Lepisosteus oculatus: one gene and its partners. The protein of the gene in region 1 binds, or shares a complex with, the protein of each later gene. Links are inferred from orthologs where the notes say so. Each region holds a gene or a part of one and is shown in the gene's direction. Other genes may lie near its edges.

Region 1 (8,222 bases):
TACCACCAGGCTATGACATGCACCTGTGTGGCATCACAATCATCTTAATTAGAAAATGAACAAGGTTTCCCCAGACGAATGAAAACACAAAATGAAACAAAGAGCTTACTTAGCTGCTGGAGTGTTCTGATAAATTGCTGCACCACACTGCGATTTAACAGGGAGTCCAGCCAAAACTATTTTTATAGCCCCTTTTATGAAGCATGTGTGTTTCGGTAATACCTCTCCTCTCCTGCTGTTGCATAACACACAATCTGTTACATTTAGGGCAACAGCTGTGAGCTGCTCTAATGATTGAAACTTACAACTGACTACAGGAGTTGTGTTTGTCCTCGACGGTCACAACCCTTTCAGTAGCTGGGTTTTAAAGTCTTGCAGGATGATCTGCCATTTTCAATACCTTGCTGCGAAATAATTAAATACCTACAGGATAGTTTTTTTTTTTGTCCCTGAAACTGAGAGTTTTTAACTCTGCTTCTTCTGACATACAGTACAAGAAATGCAGCATCTGAATACAATTCAGTCTATTGTGTTGAAGAAAGGACCAGGACTCTAAGCGCAGTTTCAAATCTGGTGTTTTTTTAAATAAAAAATGGACAATTGAAAAGTAAAATAAGGGCAACCTGGGATACTATTTATTTTTGTAGACATTACTAGTGTGTTGCAACAGCAATTAACATTAAGGATATGTAGATCAATCTTCAGTGAATATAACAGAAAGAAGGTTGTAGAATCTTAGCTAGCTAGAATTTTCCTAATTAGAAACTAAACTATGTGTCCTCCCTCTGTATGACAGTGTTACATAATGCACAAGTGACTTTTTAAATGTTGTTTAAATAATAGATATATTTTACAGTACTTTGAGAAGACTGGCTTAGTGATGTAGCATATTGCCATCTAGTGAGTATGCAGAGCATGGCAACTCACTTACAAGCCAAAGTAGAGGCAAAAGATAGTTTACTACATGCTGGTCTTAGAGAAGACATATTTAAGGCAGTCGTGTTTACTCGTATGATTGGTGGCCAAACTTAACTGTAGTCAAGGGAATTCCTTGACAGCTATAAGAGGAAATACAAATACAGAACTGAGGTCTATTTTCAAGGTTTTAAATCTGTAGCTTATATTAGGTTATGCAGAAGAACCTAAAAACCTTTATATAAAAACCTGAAGAAGGTTCCACCACTGAAATTGTTATTTTTAGTACTTGTTCAGTCATATAAAATGTCTAATAAAAACTAAATAGATCACATATCTATACTTTCAATTATTACATTTTTCTCTAGCTAAATTCGGTGCCCGTAATGATATAGTATTCACAATGCTTTTTCACATCCAAGTCTTAATATTTCTAGTACTTCCACAGAAATGAGAAAGACAAATTTACATTCTGAAAAAAAAATAGTGGTTTGACAAATATCTGCTGCAATCATGTTAAAAGCTGAGGAAACATGGAACGGAGAAATTCAAGTAAAAAATTCCTCAATAAAGCTTAAGCTTTAGGGTGAGAAAAATGTACATTTGATTAAGGAAAAGGCATCATCACCATTCACAATTTACTTCCATAATCACTAGGTGGTGTAATTGTTGTCAGATGTAAACTGATTCTAAACTACATATTACAAAATGAAAAACAGTATTTTGACTTCTCTTTGCTGTGCACCATCTGAAAAAAATATTATGAAATACTTTTGGGACTCGTGCGCTAGCTGGAACTGCAAAGGGATATATTACAGTAAGTATATTGAGCCTCCCCTTTTAATACTCACTCAGGAACAAAACTGCTAAAGTACTATCAGCGCTATTTTGACAAAATACAATTCCTAAATTCTACCCAAACAATAGAAAAACTAACACTGCCACAGAGACACTAAATAGCATTTTTTTTACTTCTTATGTTGCTATGACCACCCATAACTATACTGAATTGTGATTAATCTGCCTTAAATATCTTACTCTTGCTGTAGTGTTGAAGTGGCCAGTGTTGATTAACCAAAGTGCTTTCAAGTACAGCTAGCCTTAGAGTGCAGTATTCTTCTCATTCCAAAGCTAAAGCTGCTTTGCCTTCAAAAAAATAGCAGTAAATGTAGAAATGCAATTTGATTCAAACTCCTCAAACCCCTGAACTGTTGGAATATTTTCAATATGACTTTCTGTTCAGTACTGTAAGGAGATACAGTACAAGCATTAAAAAAATGAAAGGGCTTTTAATGTTCTTTTACCTTCATAGCATGAGCAGTATAAAAAGGTAAAGGGGTAGTAGGAGGTTGTCTATCTGGGCTGTGTAGGCCTCTAGTAAAGAAACCAGTGTGACTGATCCTACTATCCAAGCATAGCTGGTGTTCAAGTTAATGGCCTCATCAAAAATGAGGAAAAGAGCAATAGCAATAATCTGGGCGAAGATCGAAGTGGCTGTCCCTTCCATGGTCTTCTTGGTCCCGGGCCACCGGACCTCTCCCATGGTGCTGCCGAACACAGATGCCATAGTGTCCCCAACACCGACGGCCAGCACACCAGCATAGGGCACCAGTCCCCCCACTCCTGGGAGGCTTCCTTTAGGCATGCAGGGTCCAGGGTACAGCCATATGGGAAGGGACATCCCGAGGAGAAGGTAGATGTGGGTGAGGATGAGGGGCCCGGAGTCTCGCTCATCCAGGAACAGAGACAGCAGCTGCCGGAGGAGGTGCCCGACGGGTCTGATCCGAAAGTAGCGGACGTACTCCAGGAGGAGGAAGGCGGCCAAGCAGGTGACGGAGGCGACGTGCAGAAGCTGACGGTCGTAAATCAGCCCGGGCACGTACGTGGCCACCACAATGAAATGGAAGTACTTCCTCACGACTGTAGAGGCCTGGTGCTTCTTGGACCCCAAAGACCTCTTGTAGTTCTGGTGGAACACCACCAGAGACGCCAGCACTGCCAGCAGGACCCAGTAGGCCAGCAGGCAGAGTCTGTTCTGACTCAGGAGGAGGAAGTCGATCAGCCACATTAAGGGGTGCCTTCGGATCAGGAGGGCAAGCCATGGCATGATAATCCCCAAGCCAAGAACTGCCGTCATCATGTGGAAAAACAGGGAGGACACCCAGGTCTCCGACTCCATGAAGCAGAAGAGCAGGGTGAAGAAGATCCCCAGCAAGAGACATCCAACCACGATCACTAGCAGGAAGTAGTTGATGGGATCTCCTTTGGATTCAGGGGCATTCAGGGAGCGCTTAATGAGCTGGTTGATGATGAAGCTAATACCACCGATGATGATGAGGCCCTCACCAGGAGTGAAGCAGCGAGGCAGGAGGTACAGAATGATCAGGCTGAGGTAGACGAAGATCAGAAGCACCTCCAGCACTTCAATGACTTCAGAGACCGTTAGGGTTTGCTTGATCGTGTAGATCACGGCGCTACCAGCAATGCCAGAAATGACACAGGTGTTGGTCGGCACAGGCCTGGTGATGCCGAGGGCAATCAGGGAGAGAAACAGAGCCAGCATCATCCCTGTCGCGGTGACCACCATTGAAAAGCGCTCGAAGTACACATTTCCGGAGGCTTGGCAGCGCTCTTTCAGGGCCAGGCCAAGTAGAGGCATGATCATGCAAGCGGGCAGGATGCCACTGTTCGCAGAGGGTCTGAACTGAAACACAGCCCCGCCAGATTTCAGGAGGCGGTCCCATTTGTACTGGACATAGAAGGCTTGAATGGCCAAGGCAATGGAACACCATGACAGCTGATTCCAAACCACAAAATGGACACACAAAACAATAGTGAAAACAATAACTGACTCCACGAACACAGGATTCGTCAGCATGGTTGCAGATCCTGCAGCTTCAGGGGTGCTTCTCAAAACTGCTATTTATCGGTATTTTCTTGCATCCAGGGCAGGCCACTTCCTTGATGTAATGCTTCACATTTTTCCATTCTTCATTCTTACGCCACCTATCGATATATATATATATTACAGTGTTAGTCTCGGTCGGTGGAATGATTTAACTCTATAATTCTGTCACTTTTTCTATAGCGTATTTGCAAGCCGATGTACCCTCACGGACACGAGAGACGTCACCAATTAGAAATGCCAACGGCCAGGGCAAAATACTACAATTCTGTCGTAATAAAAGTAAGCAAATCATGGAAACGTGCTTTTACTCCCCACGTAATAAAACATTTAATAAAACTCTTCGTCATCACACATCCGCGGAGTATCCGGTTAGAAGAGAATAAAAACGTTCTTTTATGGTCGTGTAATGTCGTCTTTCAAGACGCAGCCCGACGAAATCCTCGGATCACTTAGCTTAGTACTGTATCGGTATCACCCAAGCGACTTAGATCAGCAGGATGGCCTCCTCTCTTTAAAACATTAATGCTCTTTGTTTCAAACACCACTCTGTTCCTAACAAAGCTTGTGAAACATGTAACAATTTGACAGTCAGCTTACCTTAACGCTGTGCTTTTTCATAAAACCACTCCACTGAAGTAGACTAGTACTGACATTGTTAAACGGCTATTGTATAAAACAATGTATTTCAGACAGCGTTTTTTGGCTGCAGGTGCGTAATTTCCTATCCATAGTTAAAAGCTTCAAAATTGAAAACACGAGAAACGCATGGATATTTAAGAGCTCCACGGTAAATGCATTCGAGTCCGCTTTAACTGAGGCCTTTTGTGGTTTAACAAGACTGGTTGGTAGCCAATCGATTGTATGAAATTACAACATAACGGAACTGGGTGCAAGGTACAAGATATCTGACATGCAAGCAACATCCCCATGAATTTGCAAAAGCCAACTGATAACACTACCCAGATATCATAAAATGTGTTAATTAACTTACTTCACATGTCCACCGCGATCATAACACGTTTTGTGCGTACTTTCATTCGATCGTATAATTTTTTTTTTAGTCTTTAACATCTAGGAGGCGGCCATGTTGACAGCTTGATCACATGAATAGGGCGGATTTTATTTTCTGCTTCCTACACAGTGATCGCATCTCAGTTGCCGGCTTCGGAAGTGTTTTTTTTATTCTTTCCAACCCGGGGCACCCGTCACATGACCAGGGTGTTCGACCGGAGGAGGTGTCACGTGTAGGGGGGAATATGGCGGACTCGGAGATGTGTGTCAGGTACTTGAAAGAAAAGCAAAAGTGTTCTTTTAATGTATGGCATTGTACAAAACTGATCATGTCTGAATGGGAAATGTAATGAGGAAGGATAAAATGAAATGAATGAATAGTTATTTAGACGTTTGGACGTTTTCCTTTTAGTTCTTACTTTTATAAATGGGATGGCTATTACAATGTGGAGGGAAAAATGTGTGCTGTTTTCTGCCGCATGTTAGTGAAATTTTTTAGAAGGCAGTTAACATTGCTTCTTATTCTCATTGGCAGGAAATATGTATATAACAAGTACCATGTTCCGAGATACTCCAATAATGTTCGGATCAAGAACAATTAACAGTATAGAAAAAACTTGTTGAGACTATATAGTACGGTGGTCCTATTATCTAGGTTTATTGCCAATGTTATAACAGAAGTAATTGCTTAAAAACTAGATTGAAAACGTGCCTAGTTCTTTGAATGAATGTAGGCTATTGGTTCCTAAAATTCATGCGAAGGACGATCCGTTACGCTGCATCCCTTTAATAAAGACAATTTAAAAGAAAACAAACGTATACTGTCAAAATGTTGTAACTTCCATTAACACAGAACTGCCGAGAAATGTCAAAACAGTTGAACGCGGAGGTTTGAACATACAGTAACTTGAATCTGATTTTGACACTTTCAACTTTGGAGTAAAGTATTTTTTTTCCTTATTTCTGACCCTAAAAATCGTGTGTAGCGTCCAGACGTACCAGTGAGATGTGAAATGTACGTAACAGTGTTAATATGCCGCAGATGTGTAAGCTTTTAAATGTTCACGTTTATCTCTAAGTATAAGTGCGTGGAATGTCATTTATGATTATTTTCGTCACTTTTATAGGGATGAATGCGTTTATTTTTGTAGGACCAGCAGAGAACTTTGGACGATCTTGTTGGGAAGATCGGCTTTGAGGGAACCGGTAACGTTTTTTTCCGTATTCTGTTTGCATGAATATGCAACCCTTTAATTAAAAAATGATTATCAGCAGTGCAATTTTGTTTTTTTTTCTTGGTTTTGGTATTGTTACATAATTTGTTCATATGACTCCCATTTACATCTCCGAAAACATGTATGAAGATCAGGGAAACTTGCTATGCCGCCTAGCAATTTTCTTGAAAACCTGTTAATGCTGTGAATAAACATTGAGAAAAATGTTGCAACATTCTTATCCACACAAAGGGAGCAGTCTGTGACTGGTGATTTTTTAAATAAAATGTAATTATTAGGATAAGGAGAATGTATAAAGAAGTCAGTCATAGATACCTGAATATTCTTCTTTGGTTTTCATTAAAGCTAAATCTAGAGTATTTTAGATTTTCTTAACTGTAACTGTTGTTGGAATCACAGGCGTAGCTGTATGTGTTTGTCATTATTATCTGCATTCGTGTTTTATCTTTCAATAATAGGCCCAGATTGAAGCAGAGCTTGACAGAAACTGGGAGCGGTTGCTATCAGGATTATGTTACTACAAACCACCTAGGTATGCTGTTGATAAACACTTATTTTGTAAAGGTAAACCTTTTTATATAGCATCATAGTTCAAATGTACAATATATGATTAAGATCAAAGCAGATATGTTTGCTATTATTCAGACAACAGAGCGTAGAATCAAAACATCTAAAATCAGTTAATTCAGTAATCTGATATTTGCATCTCTCTTTTTCTAGTTCATCGGCTGCAGAAAAACTGAAGTCAGATAAAGAAGTTGCCCAGCCACTGAAAGACTTTGGTCTCAGAATCAGTAAATTATTGGTGAGTGTTATGAGATTTATTTGTAAATGTAATCTTTGAGAATGGATTACATCTCCTGTTTAGGTAAGTGTAAAATATAAATTACCTTTGGATGGAATTTTATATTATTATGCAGAATTTTATGTCAAACATATTCTTTAATCCAATTAGTACAATACGGTATGTAATTGGAATGTTATAGTGCCTGACCTACACATGCCTACATTGGCTATGCGTTCTTTACGTTTATTTTTGTGAAAAATAATCTTTAACCTTTGTGAGTTTTTTTTAAATGAGATTGTGTGCTTTAAAATGCTCTGTTATTCTTTAAGAGGTGCTGAAGCATATTCAAGTTCTTGCAATTGATTAAATTAACTACTTGTATTAATAAAGTAATTAGAAATTGTACTATTGCAGCCTGTGATATGGAGAATGTGCAACATCAGATTTTGTTTTGCCATTGAGATAATAAATTGCCACAGATTTGTCATGTCAACATGGTATATTTACTGTATTCCAGGGCCTTGATGAACAGCAGAGTGTCCAGGTGTTGCAGTGTTACTTGCAGGAAGACTACAGAGGCACCAGGGATGCCTTAAAGGTAGAGAAGGATTTCCAGTGCCTTAATAATGAAATAGAAAAATTCACCAACCTGGAAACGGAATAGTTTTTGGAAAGTACTTTTCCCTTTTCACATGATCTGTTTGTTTCTCTTTCTTACATTAGTCTGTCCTGCAAGATGAGCGGCAGAGCCAAGCACTGCTGTTAAAGGTAAGCTGGAATCCAGTGTGAAACTGCAGATCAGATGATCAGACCCTGATGATGTAACAGGGGTGCAAATGCTTGACCAGATCTGCACGGGACATGAGTTTCTCGAAGTTAATCAGAAGATGCCCAATGCACAGTGCAAACCAGGCCATTTGAAGACAAAGGCAAGCGTGGCCAGACAGAGGAGTCCCGATGCAAGAGCAGGTTTTAAAATTGCCGAGTCTGTGAGTCTCTGGCAGCAGAGATGGTAGCTAATGTAACAGTCTGTACATATTTTGTTGTATATTGGGTATTTGGACAATTCATTCATGCATATATTACAACTTCTAAGATAGAAAAAAAGAACAGGCCTTTGTTAAAATTACAATCAAACTTAAAATCGAAAACATGACTATGATCGTGTAATTAATCCAGTAATCATACAAGTTATTTTCTCTGAACCTTTTAAGTCCCGGTGTTTACTCCTTTTATGTTTGCACATTTCATTGTATCCACTGCAGCTTCTTTTTCTTTTTCTATTTATTTAGATCGCTGACTATTATTATGAGGAGAGGATCTGCCTTTTGCGCTGTGTCCTGCTGCTCCTGACATACTTTCAAGA
Region 2 (7,986 bases), about 8.1 Mb from region 1:
CCTCACAGAAATATCACTATATTTAAATTTCTATTCTGTTTATTTGCAAACGTAAGTTGGGCACCTTCAACTCATTTTAATCCTATTAGACATTAAACTAGTTTTAGAAAACAAAACTACTGATCTCCCGTTCACACTATTTCTAAGACACGATATCATACTTTGTGGACTGCAGAGAAGTTAGACCACTGTCGAATAATCTCAGTCTTCTAGGGCTGGCATCCTGAGGTGTTTACAGGCATGTTTCAATTACCTACTCATTAAGACCTAAAAAACTTCAGTTCTGATCAAAATAACCAATTTAATTTAATAATTAAGATGAATGAAAATCAGACACTCTGGCTCTCCAAGACTGAGTCTCTGAATCCAGCAACCTTTTTAGATAAAGACATGCTCCTGATACAGCTTCACCTTGCTTTAGTATAAAAGCAAATGAAATGAGATATATAAATAGGTTATTCTAACTTCTAACAGCAGACTAATGAGCAGACTGTTGAATGGACCCGGGGAAGATTGAGATGGCTATCTATTGCTCCCGGTTATCTGCCTCGCTTAGCAGTGCTGTTGCAAACATGGGTTTCAAAAAGCCAGGCTGTTCATCACGCTCCTGATTAGGCAGCGCAGTCTGGCCTGCAGGGCTCGCATGTCATGTGCAGGCTTCTGGCAGCTCTTATGAAAGAGACTTTAAAACCTTCCTGGTTGAGGTGTAGCTAACAATAAACCACAATGTGCCCATAAAGCCCAGAACACTGGAGCGAACCTGAGTGGTGAAAGGACATTGCAGCTGACTGCAGTGGGTTTATTGTGCGGGCAGCACAGGTCCTTGACCACAGAGTGCAATGGAAGCAGACATTTTCTTAACCTTTTATGCTGGTTTTAGATTATGGCTCTCTGCAGTGTACTACAGCCTTTTGTCCAAGGGTTGCTCTTCAACTAAGGATTTTCTGTTGGGGAATTTTGAGCAGCACTCCATGAACACAATCTAAACTCTTACATGTCTGCATCTTCCCCGTAGGGTCCTTTCCATTACCGCTTGCCATTATTCCAGCAATCTCCCACCTAGTGTGTAGAATACAAAGCCGACGTGTTAGTCTCTTTTCTTCTAGACTAGGGTTTTCTTGACCACGAATGCTTTTGACTGACAAGAGCTATTAGGAAGGGAAGAAGGAATGTACATGTGCACTCTGGGCTCCACATGTGACTTCTGGAGCCTGGCGTTCACAGCTCTGTGACACTGTAATCCCATGCTCTATTTTAATTAGCTCTGTGCCACAACGCCGATTAAATGAAAAGAAGAAATTAGATTAGATAGTTTTATATTCAACAGATTGACTAAGGAGATTATTTTCATTATTTAATTTTAAACAGTCTGCTTGTTTATAACATGATATAATAAGTTAGTTATTTAACCGATGCTTTATTCCCAAACCGCCTTACATGTGTACCCATTTACTTACATGTCTGGGCATTTTGCTGGAGCAGTCTGAGTGCAGTATCTTTCTGAGAGGTGTAACAGGAGTTCCCCACCCAGGAATTAAACCCAAGCCTCCCAATTATGAGTCTAGACACCTAACTGCCATTTCACACTGCTACCAATACTATAATATAAGCTGAATCCTTGATAACACTAGAAATAAACTAGAAAGAACTACTATATTATACAGAAATAACCCTTTTTACCATACATTATGTAAATGAGACTCACTGGAAGGAGACTTTACAGTATACAGTATGTGTGCCATATTTTAATACCTATTTACACTGCCTGCACCCTGTAATGTTCTAAACACTAGTCACTAGTTAGAACACTTTGGCTAGTTAAAATACTTGTTTGCAGTAAACTGACAGATCAGAGAATTATTGTTATATTTTAAACATTCTGAATACCGTATAAAAATAAATAAGGCAGTTACAGGCAAAATTCAAAGGATATTGCTTTTCAACTCAAGGGAATTATACTGTACAATCAAGATCTGTGAATAATGGAAATTAAAAGCGGGAGGTTTAGGACTGGAAACAGGAGGCATTTTTTTTACCAAAATAGTGGTGGGTGTCTGTAACAAGAAAGACAGGAAAATGGGAACTGATCATGTCCCTTTCCTCCTTGGTGAAACTTTCCAAAATAATCAGACCAGGCTAAAGTTGTCTTTAGTTGATGACAGAGTATTAAAAGTCATAATTCAGGAATTGTGTTGCCCACTTGTCTAACTATTCCTTGTTACATATAGACAATATTTTCATCCATTAGGTTGATTTTATATTATAATCAACAGTTAAAGGCTTTGCAAGAAGGTTCTCTGGAATAAATTATCTACAAGCAGTCAAATGTGCAAGGTGGACTGAACAGCCTTCTCACCTTTGTTAACTTTCTCATGGATTTATACTGTCAAGATATTGACCGTTTTTGTGTTGTACTTTTCAATATTCTGTAGAACATGTACTCAGACACATCAGAGAGCCACAATATTAATACTTCAAAAGTAAGGTTAACAGATAACCAAACAGTAAAAGGAACATTTGGATCTAACTTTAAGTCTAAGTAAGATATTTTAAGTTAACAACAGAACAACAGTCAGAATAATTATCAACAGGGCTCCAAATGCACATAAGGAAAGCTGTTAAAAAGTTAGGAATATTCAATGCATTACAGCTCCTTAACCTTGTTTCAGGGTAACAGACTTTCTGATTGGCTTTCTGTTGTTTATGGATTGAGTTTTTTTCTGTTACCAAACTGCATAAACATGATGTCTAATAAATGAAATGGCATTTTAAAAAATGAATCAGAATTTAATTAGACATTTTCGAACGTTTTTGCAATTACAATAAGAAGTCAACAGTAGGCTTCTCAATGCAAAACCTGTTGAGTCTGTCCAACCCAGGGTTTTGGAAATGAAACCAACTGTAAAACAATTGCTACAAGCTTATCAGTGGGACTGACCTTTCCAAGTACAAACACTGTTTGTTTTCTTTTATTGTCAGTTAATCAGAAAGCCGTTTGCAGTATTGTTGTTTTGTTATGTTTTTGGTTAAAAAACAATAGTGCTAAAACCTACACATTCAATCTGAATTATTATTAAGATGCCATACAGGAATAAATGTGGATCTATTTTGATCCTTTTTTAACTATATCAGATTTAAATACAGGGATATGAATGTTTTAATAATGTTAATCTGAGGTTCTCATTGCTTGGTTTCCAAAGACCAAAGACCCATTGCCCTATTTGTAAGAGAAAGGTTGTTAAACCCTCAAAATCTCACCCACCAAGTTAAGTTCCCTCTTAATTTTATTGCAGTTATAGCAATTTTGCACTTCTTTACCTGATCTGCAGTGTAGTGGGGCTCCTAGGGGGGTGAATACAGTGGGCATATTTATTTTATGTATTAATGTACAGTAATATATACATAATAATAATAATAATAATAATAATAATAATAATAATAATAATACAGTACATACAGTCTCTCAAGTAATTTCAAAATCTTTGGGTGGAAAAGTGTTGTACAAAAATAATTCTGTACATTGTATTTGTTCTGTTTCTTACCTCAATGGGTGATGATTCAAACCAAGTTTCAATACATCACTCTTCTCGTTGCACAGTAACTTTGTTACGGTCACTTGTGAAATTTTGTCCCATGAATATCTATCACCATAGATAAAGGCATTACAAATCTAATTATCTAAACAAGTCTAATTATCGGGAGAATTTCAAAGAATATATTGCAGCGCTCTCGGGTTCACGGGGGTATGTGCCCACCTCAGGTCGGCCCCCCACCGCTAGGGACTCGAACCCGGGCCTCCGGTCACTCAACAGGGACCCCGCCCGTTGAGCTAAAGGGAAATCTCCCTGAGCCGCCCTCCCTATTCACAGGGAAGGGCGGTGACGTCACCGCGCCGGTAAGCCGGCCCGCTCAACCTGCAGTGGCGACCGTCTGCGGAAAACAACAACAGCATGTTGTTTTCCGTAGCAGTAATGGATCATAATCACATTTATGAGTAACCGTCGCGTACTTCCCAACAGCCTGTAATGAAAAGCTCCGTGAAGTTGCCCCCGCCTACACACAGCACAAACGACGAAACCCACCTCAATCGTTAGTGCAGCGTTTGTGCCGGTTTGTGCCGTTGAAAGTAACTTCCCAGCTGCTTTCGTTCCTTAGATACAACGTCTTCTTTTTCAGGGGTGACCTTGCCCAGAACCCCTACAACGTCGTAGGGAAACCGGACCGGTCTCAGTCGTTTGTGCCGGTTTCGTTCCCCAGATATAGCGCCTTGTCCTTCCGGTGATCACGCGACCTTGACCTCCAGTGACCCCGAGTTCAAGCGTCTGTGAGGGGTGCGAGAGGAACGGCTCTGCAGTTGTGTTCCTCTGTTTGCCCGGGTGGGGGGCGGCGGTGGATTTTGCATTAAATATCAGTGTCCTCTGTGCGTTGGAGTGATTTGTCACGAATATCACACACCCTAATCAGAAGAGTTGCGGGTGTAGTCTCAAAGAGAGAACACCAGCAAACAATTGCATGTTCTTACCAAGAGGCTTTAACGAGCACGTCTCAATACTTCGTAGCAGTGTGTGTTTAAAAAAAAAAACCCTGAAATGATCAGTTTCTCACCGTCTCCTTCTTCAATAAACACGCACCAAGGGACGTGTAAAGGCGGGGTCACTGGAGGTCAAGGTCGCCGTGCATGGTTACATGATCACCGGAAAAACAAGGTGCTATATCTGGGAACGAAAGCGGCACAAACACTACTTTCAACGACACAAACTGGCACAAACTTGCACAAACGAATGAAGTGGGTTTGATCGTTTGTGCTCTGTAGGGGGGCCAACTTCACGGAGCTCTGTAAGGAAACTATTAGAAAAACAGCGCCACATTGTGGACTATTTTAGTATTGTGAGTTTTCCAAGTGGTGTTTTATTTTTAACCATTTAGTTTTGTATTACTTTAATTTATGTCATATATTAGCACGTAGCAAGTATTGTCACACACACACAATATGTATTTTAGCTCATCAGTTTAAATTTTCTAACAACATTTTCCTGATACATTCCACTGTAACTTTCCTGAGGAATTCAATTTTCCAGCCAGGACAAGAGGTTGAAAAGTTTTACACGCACAGAAACAGCTAATGAAACACTTTTAATTTTTTTAATCAATTTTAGTAATGTTTAACACGACACCGTGACGGATAATACAGTAAATTGATTTTCTCAAGGGGAGGCGCCATAGTTTTGAATCTGTGACGTAAGACATGCGACGGATGTGTTGATTCTCAGTCGCACTGAGACAGAAGCCATGATGGTGTCAGGAGAATCATGAAACTATTGCGAATTTGAGTTTCAGACTAATTTGAAACTTAATACAGTTGACTGTTTTTCTGCTATTGCATTTATTAATTTACCGTTGCTTTTGCGGTGATACAAGATGAGCGACGATTTGGACGCAATTCCCGAAAGGGAAATGAAGGTAAGTGTTTGAAACAATTTGTGAAGCTTTCAGTTTACATTGGTCGATTTGCAGTACCGAGTGCACGACATCTTCGTGGTTTGCCTCTCTTAAGACTTTTACCGTGGTTGAGTGACAGCTGTGATTGTCGAAACACGATAAAGCTATTCTTAAAAAAGTATTTAGATACTCCTGTCACACTTTCGTATGTCTAGAATGTATTTTCTTATTTTGTAATGTGCTATTTGCCTTAGAGTTATACGATATTTTTAAGTTAAGCATTCAAATTATTTTCTTGATGATATGTTAGATTAGGCTTTACGTTTTTTCTATTCCATACCCATTATCTACGAGGATGCCGGCAAACATTTGAGCCTGTGTTGTTTTCACTTTCATTTCTTCGTTTCGAAAGTTCTGAATTTATCGTATACATATGTAAATCCGTCTTATTCCTGCTGGAATGGAAGGTGGTGCTTTTTAATCATTTTGCAAAAAACAGATCTTGTTCTTGTGGAATGCTGCCTCTGCGACTGAGGGATAAACTTCATGTCTGAGGTCCACAGACTGTAACGTAACTGTACAGCACTGTCAGTGTCTGTTACTTCAGTAAACAGTTTTTACAAGAGACTTTAAGGAGGACAAAGAGTACGTGCACGGCTTAAATGCTTTTTATTTGTTGTTTGCAGGATTTTCAATTTAGGCAGATGAAGAAGATCCGCATTTTTGACACCCCAGAGGAGTTGCCGAAAGAAAGGTCTAACCTGCTTGCAGTTTCCAACAAGTATGGGCTGACGTTTATAGGCTATGACACGGAGCTCAAAGTGTTCCAAACCTGTGACATCGTTGCAGCAAACCGGATTGAGGGCAATCCCAACGAAATAGGTACAGTGTGACTTCAGAGGGTGTTTACTTCTGAGCAGAGTGTGAACATGGATCATAGCTGATTGGTTTCCAGTTAGATTTAAACAATATAGTCAAGCCAGAGAAAATCCTTGCACTTGCCTGTATCAAATTCAGACTTAGGATCTGTACCCTAACATTTTGGTCCAAAATTGTATAGCTCTCTAAAGCCTGTAAAATAATTTTGAGTACTCTTGCATTGCAGTAAACAAATGCAATATTAAAAACATTTGTTTTTGCTTTACCTGTATGCATTTAAGAAGATTCCCACAGCTCTAAACCAAATCAGATTGCTGTGTTATAGGAGCCTTATGTGTATCCTTGTGCACAATCTGTAAAAGATTAGCATAACTTGTGCTTTTAGTTGTATACAATACTCGTGATAATTACATTTTGATCAATTATGTTATCAGTTTTGTGTTGCTATGGTATGTTCTTGTTTTGCAGTTCTATTGTGGCTGTGTTTCATGTTGATGCAGGAATTCATCTGGATTTCTCTGTTTTTCAGTGGAGGGTGTAAATGGTACAAGCGTTGCTCTGGAATCTCCTGTGCACCATGTGGCTCTGAGCTGTGATGAGCTCACCCTGTCGGTGTGCACGCTGTCCGCTGAGGGGGGGGGGAAATTGTCTTTCTTTGACGTCCGAACTCTGCTCAATAAGGTAGGCTTTCTGCACTGAAAGCTCCTTCTGTCATCTCGTCTCCCTGGAGCTTTAGAGGAGGTTTTCTGTAAAAGAGCTTTCAAGCATTAATGGGAAAAATAGCCTTCCAGCAGAGGATGGCGACGAGCATGAACCACTGTAGTTGCGTGTTTCTTAAAAAAGACTGCGTTTGACTGCAGCTTTATAACACAAAGCAATACATCCTCCCGGGTGGCAGTGAACAGATTCCCCACCTGTTGGCAGCGCAGCTCACTTGAATAGCAGCCCTGAGGCTGAGTGTACCTGCCGTATAGCCTGTCATTCAGTGCCAGCGCTCGTGGCAGCTATAGCTTTAACGTCAGGAAGGAAGGAGAAGGTCACCGCGTTGACGTGGCCGTGCCTCTCCCCTCAGGCCAGGCCAGAGAAGCTGCCGTTCACCAGCCTCAGGCCGGCCGTGCAGCCGGGGACCTCGGTGAAGGACCTGAAGTGGAACCCGGCCCTGCCCTCCCTCCTGGCGGCCTGCCTGTCCGACGGCAGCATGCTGGTTCTGGAGGTCCTGGACAGTGCCAAGCTGCAGGCTCAGTTGCCCCCCACTGAGGGAATCACATGTGGTGAGCGTGCTCCTCCGTGGCTAATCCGCCCCAAGATTAGTGTGCTCAGCCCATTAAGATGAACAGATCTGTTTAATGGGTTGTGATGCAGGTGCAAGGCCTTAAAGCACTGTTGTTGTATTGACATATCTAAAGTTACATGTACCGTGTGGCAGGGAGAGAGAGAGATTTCCCTTCATCTCTATTTTTGTGATTTGTCAAATTAATATTCTCCTTTATCAGTTGGTGTTGCTCAGTTAAAAGGTTGTCAATCCTTCACATCAATGTGTTGGATAAAGCTTGTTGAAGTGATACTGTGGTGAACAGGTTGCACGTAGGGTGTAGAAAGAAAAAACAGTATTTTCCCTGATATTTTTCAGTAGAGTTTTAAATGAAGTTAATTGTTTTTTGCTACGCT
Region 3 (7,694 bases), on another chromosome or scaffold:
AAAAAAACATTCAAAGAAGAATAAAAATCCCTAAATGTTTCCCACATGTATGTAACTTGTCACTCATAATAATGTTACCGTTGCATTTGAAAATGAAGGAATACATACCATTTACAAAATATTCTATTAAGCTCTGAAGCATTTTAAGCCCCTGGGGAAACTGAAACCCCAAGGATGTCAGGGACCAATGTCTGATGTGCAGTAATGGCATTAAAAGCTGAGTGCCTACCTCCAACCCAAGGCTGTGCATGTCCCCACCCCTACACGCTGCTCCCCAGCCATACCTGTCTCTCGCAGTAAGCTTTCATGAGTTTGCTGAGTGGCGTGTGTCTCTTGATCTTAAACTGCACCACGGACCCATCCTGCCCCGCCACCTTCAGGTTAATGTGGTCGTTGTTTTCCGTTTTCACTCCTTCCTAAAGGACAGAAGCCACAAGACACAATAAGAACCTGCTCATTCTGTGGGAAGCCTCTGCCTGGTGAGTCTTCACATTATTATCCTTCTTCTTCCCTGGTTGGCATTCTCCATATACTCAAGCAGCAAACAGGGCAAATTACTCAAGTCTACAGATCTACCAACAGAGGGAAAAAAAGGAGATGCTGCAGCTCAACTTGGGTTTTTTTAGTGAAAAACATAAAATCAGGATAAGACTTCTTCAAGAGTCTTCCTTCTTCACATTCTTCATCTGGAATCTGAGACTGGATTCCCGTTGAGGGAGTCTGGTAAGAATGCATTAATGAAGAACACTGTGATGAATCTTCTCCAGGTTGTTTATACTGCTTCTAGATCAATGAAAAACTCCTGCCAACTAGAAATGCTTCTATATCAAATCCCCACCTTAGCATGTACCACATATTTCGTTCTCAGGGATAGATATTCTTTAACAAGAGGGACTGCAGAATACATCTCGTTCAAGCCACTACAGAAACGCTCACACAAAATGAAAATAAATGGGTTGTGTATTCGCGTCACATCACCCATGTCTTCTTTGTAAAAAAAAAGTTTAAGACCTACACATACACTGCACAGGTGATTGACACGGAAGGCCAACCACAAAACCTAAACCTTTCGGTGCAAGGTGTCCTCAGCTAAAACCACCCCTGAGAGTTGGGAGCTTGAACTAAGAAGAAGGGATTAAGGAATCGGTAAGTCTGGCTCAGCGAGCATAAACTAGATGTTGTTCAGAAAAGGCCAAACGATGGTTGCAAGGCCTGTAAGAAGCTTTAAGCCACGCACGGCTTGCTTTAATTCTACAGGAACATTTCGCAGTTCCCCCCCAGATTCCTATCGGTGCTCCTGTGCTTACTCCTCTCCTTCCACTGCGTGGCACTGTCGCCAGCAAAAACCCCGAGTCCCATGGAATAAGACAGCAGTCACTTTAAAGGTAAGGCTGTGAAGCAAACTGTCCCCACAGCTTATCTTCCACAACACGGAAACCCACAAAACTTTTTTTTCCCAGCGCTTAAACAACAATAAGCTTACATTTAGCGGTTTTAACTCTACAGAGGGTACGTAAAAGTGCACAGTATAAAAGTATAAAATCCACATATTTCTTGGATTAGAGACTGAAAAACCACATGTTTTGCAGTTAGCACATAAATGTTATGAATTAGAATACTTACTCCTGTTCACAACTTATTATAAGTCTACAATGTCTACTTATTATTTGAAACCACTATCTTACTCATGCGATTTTGTGCGTCTGAGAAAAGTACTGTAAACATTAACGAATGACTTCAGTTGTCCAGGTTAAAAAAAAACACACACCTTTGTGTCACCGGTCGGCATGCTCGTGTCCATGAAAATATCTCCACGCTCGTGGGAAAGGTCTGACAACTACACTTCCCACCCCACCCCCCCACAGACAGCGAGACCAACTGCGCACGGAAGAGCTACACTTTGGGCATCTGGTGAGCACCATCATCTGCTCAGGTAGAGAGCGGAGGTGGGACAGATGATGTATCCGTAAGGGTCTTCTTTATTTTATTTTTTTTTTACCACTGCCGGCTTCCGACCCGTGTGTTGTGGAGGAGGTCGCCCTTCCTTAGAAGCGGCTCAAAACTTCGGGTGGAAAGTGGAAGGTGCGTCCCCCGTCCCCCCAACCCACCCCGTCTCTCCCGACGCCAGACATCCCAACCCGGCCTCTCCCGAAGCGAACGGGGAGGGGAAAAAGACGAGCCTGACACCACCGGCGGCGGTGGTCCGGGGGAGAGAGGGGGCATCAGCGGGCAGCCCGGGCCGCCGGGGTGTTTTGGAAGACATCAACTCCCAATGAGCGCGCAGCCCGACACACGCGAGGTCCACACTGGGCCCAAAACAAGGAGAGCAGACCGGGCCCCCTCGCCCCCAGGACGGGCCCCCGGCCGCCCTCCGCGGCGTGCCGCAGAAGCGGGGCACTCCTCGATTTTAGAAAACGACTACTAAAAAGAAGAAAAAAAAAGTTAAGATCTTTTCTGATTGCCCGCCTCTGCAGGCTCGCTCACATCCCTTCCGGTGCTAGACCAGCGGTAGATTTCGCCGATCGCTTGGCTCACAAGTCAGCGGAGATACCGATGAATCGATCTCACTTAGGAAATAACGCGTATGAGGAAGACGCGGGCATTTCGTAATCAGCTTTTTCTTTTGCTCACCTTGGGTTTTTCGTCCGCCATGGCTTTCCTCTCCGCGTCTCTCTACGCCGCCACACAAAGAGTAAGTCGGGAGCGCGCACGTCCTCGCCGCCGACTCATTAAACCGGCATGGCGTGCGCGGGCACGAGACATTGCTCGTCCGCGGCGCCCGCTGCTCACTGGACGGAGGCGGTCACGAGGGCCGGCTCCCCGTGCTCGCCTAGGCGGGAGTGACGTCATCCACGTTATTGGCCGCCGCGCCGCCGCTCGTGCACGCGCATGGCGAAAAAATTATGTTCATCTTTTTTAATTTGTTTTGTTTTACACGGATAGAGAGAAGCATAAAGGAATCCCACTCGACCGAAAAGTAACATTTTTCTCATGCCCTGGCTTCTGGGATAGACATTTAAAACAACATTCATAATTATAGTGTATTCTGGGAATGTAGGTGACCAAAGGACAATTTCTGGAAAATTCTGATGGAGCAGGCTGTGGAAGCCATCTTGTTTTCCTGTGTGGTGGGTTGTTTTTCACCAGTTACAAATTATCCACAGTACAAAGACACAGTCAAACCCTTTTTTTCAGTTAAAAGAGAGACATTTTCCAAGAAGGTGTTAATAATTAGCTTTACTCTTCGCGGGACAAAGTAATTATTTTGTAAATGCCAAAATTCCAATTCCATGACATAATTTCATGAATTTGCCATTTAAAATAAACATTACCCTGGGTTGTGCTTTCCAACATTTCAGGCATATGAAATGCAAGATTTACTGGGACACTGGGAAATTGACCCCCAGTTGCTCATGGTTCACCACAGGGGCAGGCCCTATCTTCATCATACAATAGTAATTACCTATATCTTATAACTACACCACTTACCCTTACATTTAGATTCTTAAAGTAAGAAAAGCAAACTTGCAAAACTCTTTTGAAGCTTATATGCATATATCACATAATTTATAGTGGTTCCTCCATGCTCTTTGACACTTAAACGTTGAACACTGATTATTATAGCCACACTATACAGTGTGTCAACAGTAGTAATAACAACAGAATTTCTGTTTCATGTAGTTCTAAATGTTTGATGCTGTATCTGGTGTGTTTATTGAGAAGGATTTGTGGTTGGTCGTTTTTCTAAATAAACATGAATTGTTAAAGGTATTATGTCATTGTATGACATCTTTGAATAAGTAGTTTTAAAGCCTTTCTCTTTCTCCCCTCTCGAAGGGGCAGGTTTATTACCAGCTAGACCCAAAATTATATGAAAAAGTGTGCTTTGTGCCACATGGACATCCAAATAAATAATTATTTAAGAAGTAAGCGACCATATCCTTTGACCTTTTAAACATCAGCATTAGAACCACAATCAGTAGTCTTCGAACGTAAACCCAGTAGTTAATTGAATGCGTCCATTTGTATTTTCATCAAACATTAAAATGATCATTTATATTTAAAAAAAAATCAATCTCCAGTTTAAAAATACCCCCCCACTATGTTTCTGTTCCAGTTCACATGTGAAAAGAGAGACCAGTTCCTTTCGTTTGAGAAGCAGGTTCCCTCCAGCACAGATGATCACAAAAATATATATTTTTTAAAAAGTATGTATTTGAAACAAATATGTCCACGTCTAAAATACTGCCGTATTTCGTGGTGAATAAATCACACAAAAACTCAAATGCCTAAACGCGGTTTTAAAAGATATGAAACCCAGGAACAACCATCAGCTGCGTTCAACACTTTTGCTTTCACAATATTTTACGCAGGCATCTGAGTAGACAGTCCGGCTCAAGCCCGGGCACATGGGGTCCTGTCTCGTTTTTTTTACAAAAATCTCAATGCGCTTAGTTTCTTACACATGCGAATTTTTTTTTGATTCACTTATTGCGGAAGGAAACATCTTTGCAAAGGTTTATTTTTTTTTTTCATTTTCGGTAGGAAATGGAGGAGGTGGATGTCGAGCCGACCACAACAGTATGTTCTCTCTCTGGTTTATAATTTGTAACTCGGGGGGGGAACCGTATAGAAACACTGTAGAGGGATGTCTGTTCAGTTTTGTAGTCGCACATTTGCCTAAAGAAAGCGGGTGTTTGCTAGCTCCTGAAATGAAGAAGAGGCGGCTGTAATAAAGACTACGAGTGGTCTTCGCCTCTGTTTGAATTTGAGGCTGAATTTGTCACGTTTCCAGTTGTGCCAGCGCTTTGACGCGATCCCGGTGAAATTAGGATATTTGGTCATTCAGAACTTCATGAAACATTATTGCACAGCATTTCACGACCTCTTTTTATTGTTCGGAGATGGTTTCAGGGGATCGCTTTTCTTGCAGCTAGGAGTAAATGTTAAGGGTTTTTTTTTTTTGGTCTGCCGGGCAGGAGGAGGGTCGTGAGTTCAAATCCCGGACGTTTCGCCGCTGTCGTCTTCTCTCAGTCAGGCAGCTCACTGCCGGTGCCGGTGCTCACTGCGAACGAGAACATGTTGTTCAGGACCCCTTTCTGATTTGACAAAAGGATTCATTTAACTTAATTATAAAAAAAAAACGTAATGCACAGCTCAGTCCTGAACAAGACCACTTGATTAGAGAAAATAAAAGGTAGCACAGAGACGCGTTTAGTGTCCTGTCTGACTCCTGGTTTCGATTTAAAGTATATTATTATTATTATTATTATTATTATTATTATTATTTTATTTTGCAGCTCATCCCAGGTGTTGACTTCAGGCAGAAGCACTTGGGCTTTGTGTGGGGTCCCAGGGACATACTGACCTATGAAACTCAGTACAAGACAGCAGGTGAGGCTTCCCTGCCGTTACACGGTGCCTGTTTCTGGGTGATTCTTTTTTTGCTACAGCTCAAACGGAGACTTGTTCTTCCTTGATCGCCCCGTCAGGAGCCCCGGCTGCGTTTGCGAGCTGCCCGTGGATCCACATGGTCAGGAAGGATGAAGACATCTACTCTCCCATCCTGCGCAAGCTCTTCAACGAGTCCCACCACATCTTCGTCCAGCTGCAGAAGAGCACAGACGACACCGCCAGCAAGGCCAAGAAGCCTCGGTACACGGCCTCCGTCACCATGGAGATCCGTAGAAAGATGGCTTACTGATTTTGAGTATCTGACGGGGGTGTGGGTGGGGGCTCTGTTCTTTTGTCGTAGTAACGTTTCTCATCCATGTGGGGTAAAATCCATGCAGGATGAATCTGGTCATTGTGACGAGTAATGTACCATTTCAAGTTTTTTTTTTTTTTAAATGCTGTGGTCAAATAAGATAAGATTTTTATTGTCCCCTGTGTGAATTTTTTTATGGACACCTAGCACTCCTGTACATTTAAATAGAATGCAAACAAAAGAAAAGAAAAACATTGCACATTATTCTATTACATAAAAATAAGAAAAACATTGCACATCACTCTGTTGCACATGTACAGTATAACGCATAACAACATGTAACATTTATAACACATCCCAAAACTCAAGGGGTTGTAAGAGTGACTTCTCTGAGAATGAGAATTAAAAATGAGATTAAACGACTTCTCTGCACAATTCACAGCAAACCCAGACACGATGCAGGATGCTTGAACTGTCCTCCTGTATTTGCAGGTTTGTCAGCATTAGTAAGAACTACCGATCAGTGATCCGGGCCTGTATGGAGGAGCTCCAACAGAATGCAGGTACCAAGAGTTTCACTCCTGTCATGCAGAACATGTCTCATGGCTGTGACAGCAGTATCTGCAGGGTGATTTTTTAAAAACTATCCTTTTTCGGTTTCTTAGCACTGCCATTAATTTGTTGTGATTTTTCTGTTCCCTGCAGTTTCTGCACGTGACGCGGCTCTAGCAACACAGTATGGCAATCAGGTTGGGAAAGCTCTTTTTGAAGCTTCTTGCTTCATACGCATTGATGTAACTGAATTGATTGCATGCAAACTGTGGAAAAGCATAGCTTCTGACACTGCTGCAATTCTCATCTTCCCTTGGGCTTCAGCAGAGTTGCTGGGGAGGAGGTAAAAAAATCACGTCAAGAGACGTTTTGTGGAAACTCAAAAGCTTTCAATTAGGAAACTGTAAAACTCATAAGGCTGAAAGTAACTAAAGATGGACAGAGTGGTCTTTTTACCCCTTGACGTTCTCCAGACAAACTAAAGATCTGTGCATATCCATACAGGTGTCAATTCTGTTGGCAGTGGAGCTCATCTGGAATCTATGTGAAGTCTTGTTCATCGATGCTGCCCCAGGTTTGTGTTTTATGCATCCAACTTTACAGACTGTATTCATGAACATGAGCTCGTGAACATTAGTTTTTGGGTAAAGGTTGATAGTGTTTCTGTGAAGGTAAACCTGGCCCCTTCCAGTTTCTGTAAAGTATTGTATGACATTCCCATCTTTCCTAGTGATTACAATTAATTACATTTATTAATTTGGATGGTGATTTTTTTACAAAGGGTTTATTAATTGCATCTGGTCAAGATGGGAAGCTTGCGGTTTTAACAGTAGTTCCTGTATGCTCAGTCTCCCAGCAGCGTGAATGTAGTGGAACAAATAAAGGTTAATTCCATGTTGAAACGTAGTAAGAAAGATGAGACAAAGAAAGGGGAGAAAAAGTGTCCAAACAAAGAGAGACTTGGGGGAGAGGTGTGAAAAGATTAAATCTGTAAATGGATGGAGAGGTTCTAAAAATAATTTTTCATTTGATCGAAGGGGGAAGGTGAGATGAAAGGTTAATCTTGGCTTCTGGAAAGCCACTGTACACACTGACCTTCAGCCAGATGAAAATGGTTGTGTAGGCTCACCTTGCCCTGCCTGTGTGTTGGGAGAGAGTGCAGGGTTAGTGATGAGCTGTCTTGCATGTGGTTAACGGTAAATGTTTGCAATCATTCCTTTCAAGCTGGCACCCTTCTGCTGCACCTTCTGGACTGGGTTCGACTGCACAAGGCCGGCGTCGATGAGCAGGCTCATGAGGTTCTGCAGAGCGAGAGCCCCGCGCAGCACCCTTCCTACTGGGACGTGGTACGCGGTGGGGGAGGACCCCCTTTTCCTGCATCTGTGTGTTCGGGGGGGGGGAGGTTTCTGCCGCTGCCTTAAATTGGGATCCTGCC

The links. Proteins that work in one complex are often made in the same cells at the same time.
Region 2: nup188 (region 1) and nup214 share a complex: the UniProt entries of both Homo sapiens proteins name them as parts of the nuclear pore complex. The link is inferred for Lepisosteus oculatus from reciprocal best matches to the Homo sapiens genes NUP188 and NUP214.
Region 3: nup188 (region 1) and nup85 share a complex: the UniProt entries of both Homo sapiens proteins name them as parts of the nuclear pore complex. The link is inferred for Lepisosteus oculatus from reciprocal best matches to the Homo sapiens genes NUP188 and NUP85.

The regions. Positions count from the first base shown.
Region 1 is NC_090719.1:7,420,948-7,429,169, forward strand, and holds the start of nup188 (nucleoporin NUP188), read left to right. Parts: upstream 1-5,044; 5' UTR 5,045-5,079; coding exon 5,080-5,105; intron 5,106-5,985; coding exon 5,986-6,040; intron 6,041-6,527; coding exon 6,528-6,601; intron 6,602-6,789; coding exon 6,790-6,874; intron 6,875-7,373; coding exon 7,374-7,454; intron 7,455-7,579; coding exon 7,580-7,624; intron 7,625-8,148; coding exon 8,149-8,222. Other genes in the region: dolk (dolichol kinase), read right to left, coding at 2,222-3,793. UniProt on the Homo sapiens protein: Component of the nuclear pore complex (NPC), a complex required for the trafficking across the nuclear envelope. Required for proper protein transport into the nucleus.
Region 2 is NC_090719.1:15,565,166-15,573,151, reverse strand, and holds the start of nup214 (nuclear pore complex protein Nup214), read left to right. Parts: upstream 1-4,687; 5' UTR 4,688-4,706; intron 4,707-4,852; exon of another isoform or gene 4,853-4,887; intron 4,888-4,994; exon of another isoform or gene 4,995-5,418; coding exon 5,419-5,460; intron 5,461-6,125; coding exon 6,126-6,321; intron 6,322-6,847; coding exon 6,848-6,999; intron 7,000-7,390; coding exon 7,391-7,589; intron 7,590-7,986. UniProt on the Homo sapiens protein: Part of the nuclear pore complex. Has a critical role in nucleocytoplasmic transport.
Region 3 is NC_090704.1:44,419,662-44,427,355, reverse strand, and holds the start of nup85 (nuclear pore complex protein Nup85), read left to right. Parts: upstream 1-4,395; 5' UTR 4,396-4,409; coding exon 4,410-4,517; exon of another isoform or gene 4,518-4,548; coding exon of another isoform or gene 4,549-4,581; intron 4,582-5,300; coding exon 5,301-5,394; intron 5,395-5,492; coding exon 5,493-5,655; intron 5,656-6,199; coding exon 6,200-6,270; intron 6,271-6,412; coding exon 6,413-6,456; intron 6,457-6,763; coding exon 6,764-6,833; intron 6,834-7,483; coding exon 7,484-7,605; intron 7,606-7,694. Other genes in the region: small ubiquitin-related modifier 2, read right to left, coding at 285-416, 2,632-2,652. UniProt on the Homo sapiens protein: Essential component of the nuclear pore complex (NPC) that seems to be required for NPC assembly and maintenance. As part of the NPC Nup107-160 subcomplex plays a role in RNA export and in tethering NUP96/Nup98 and NUP153 to the nucleus.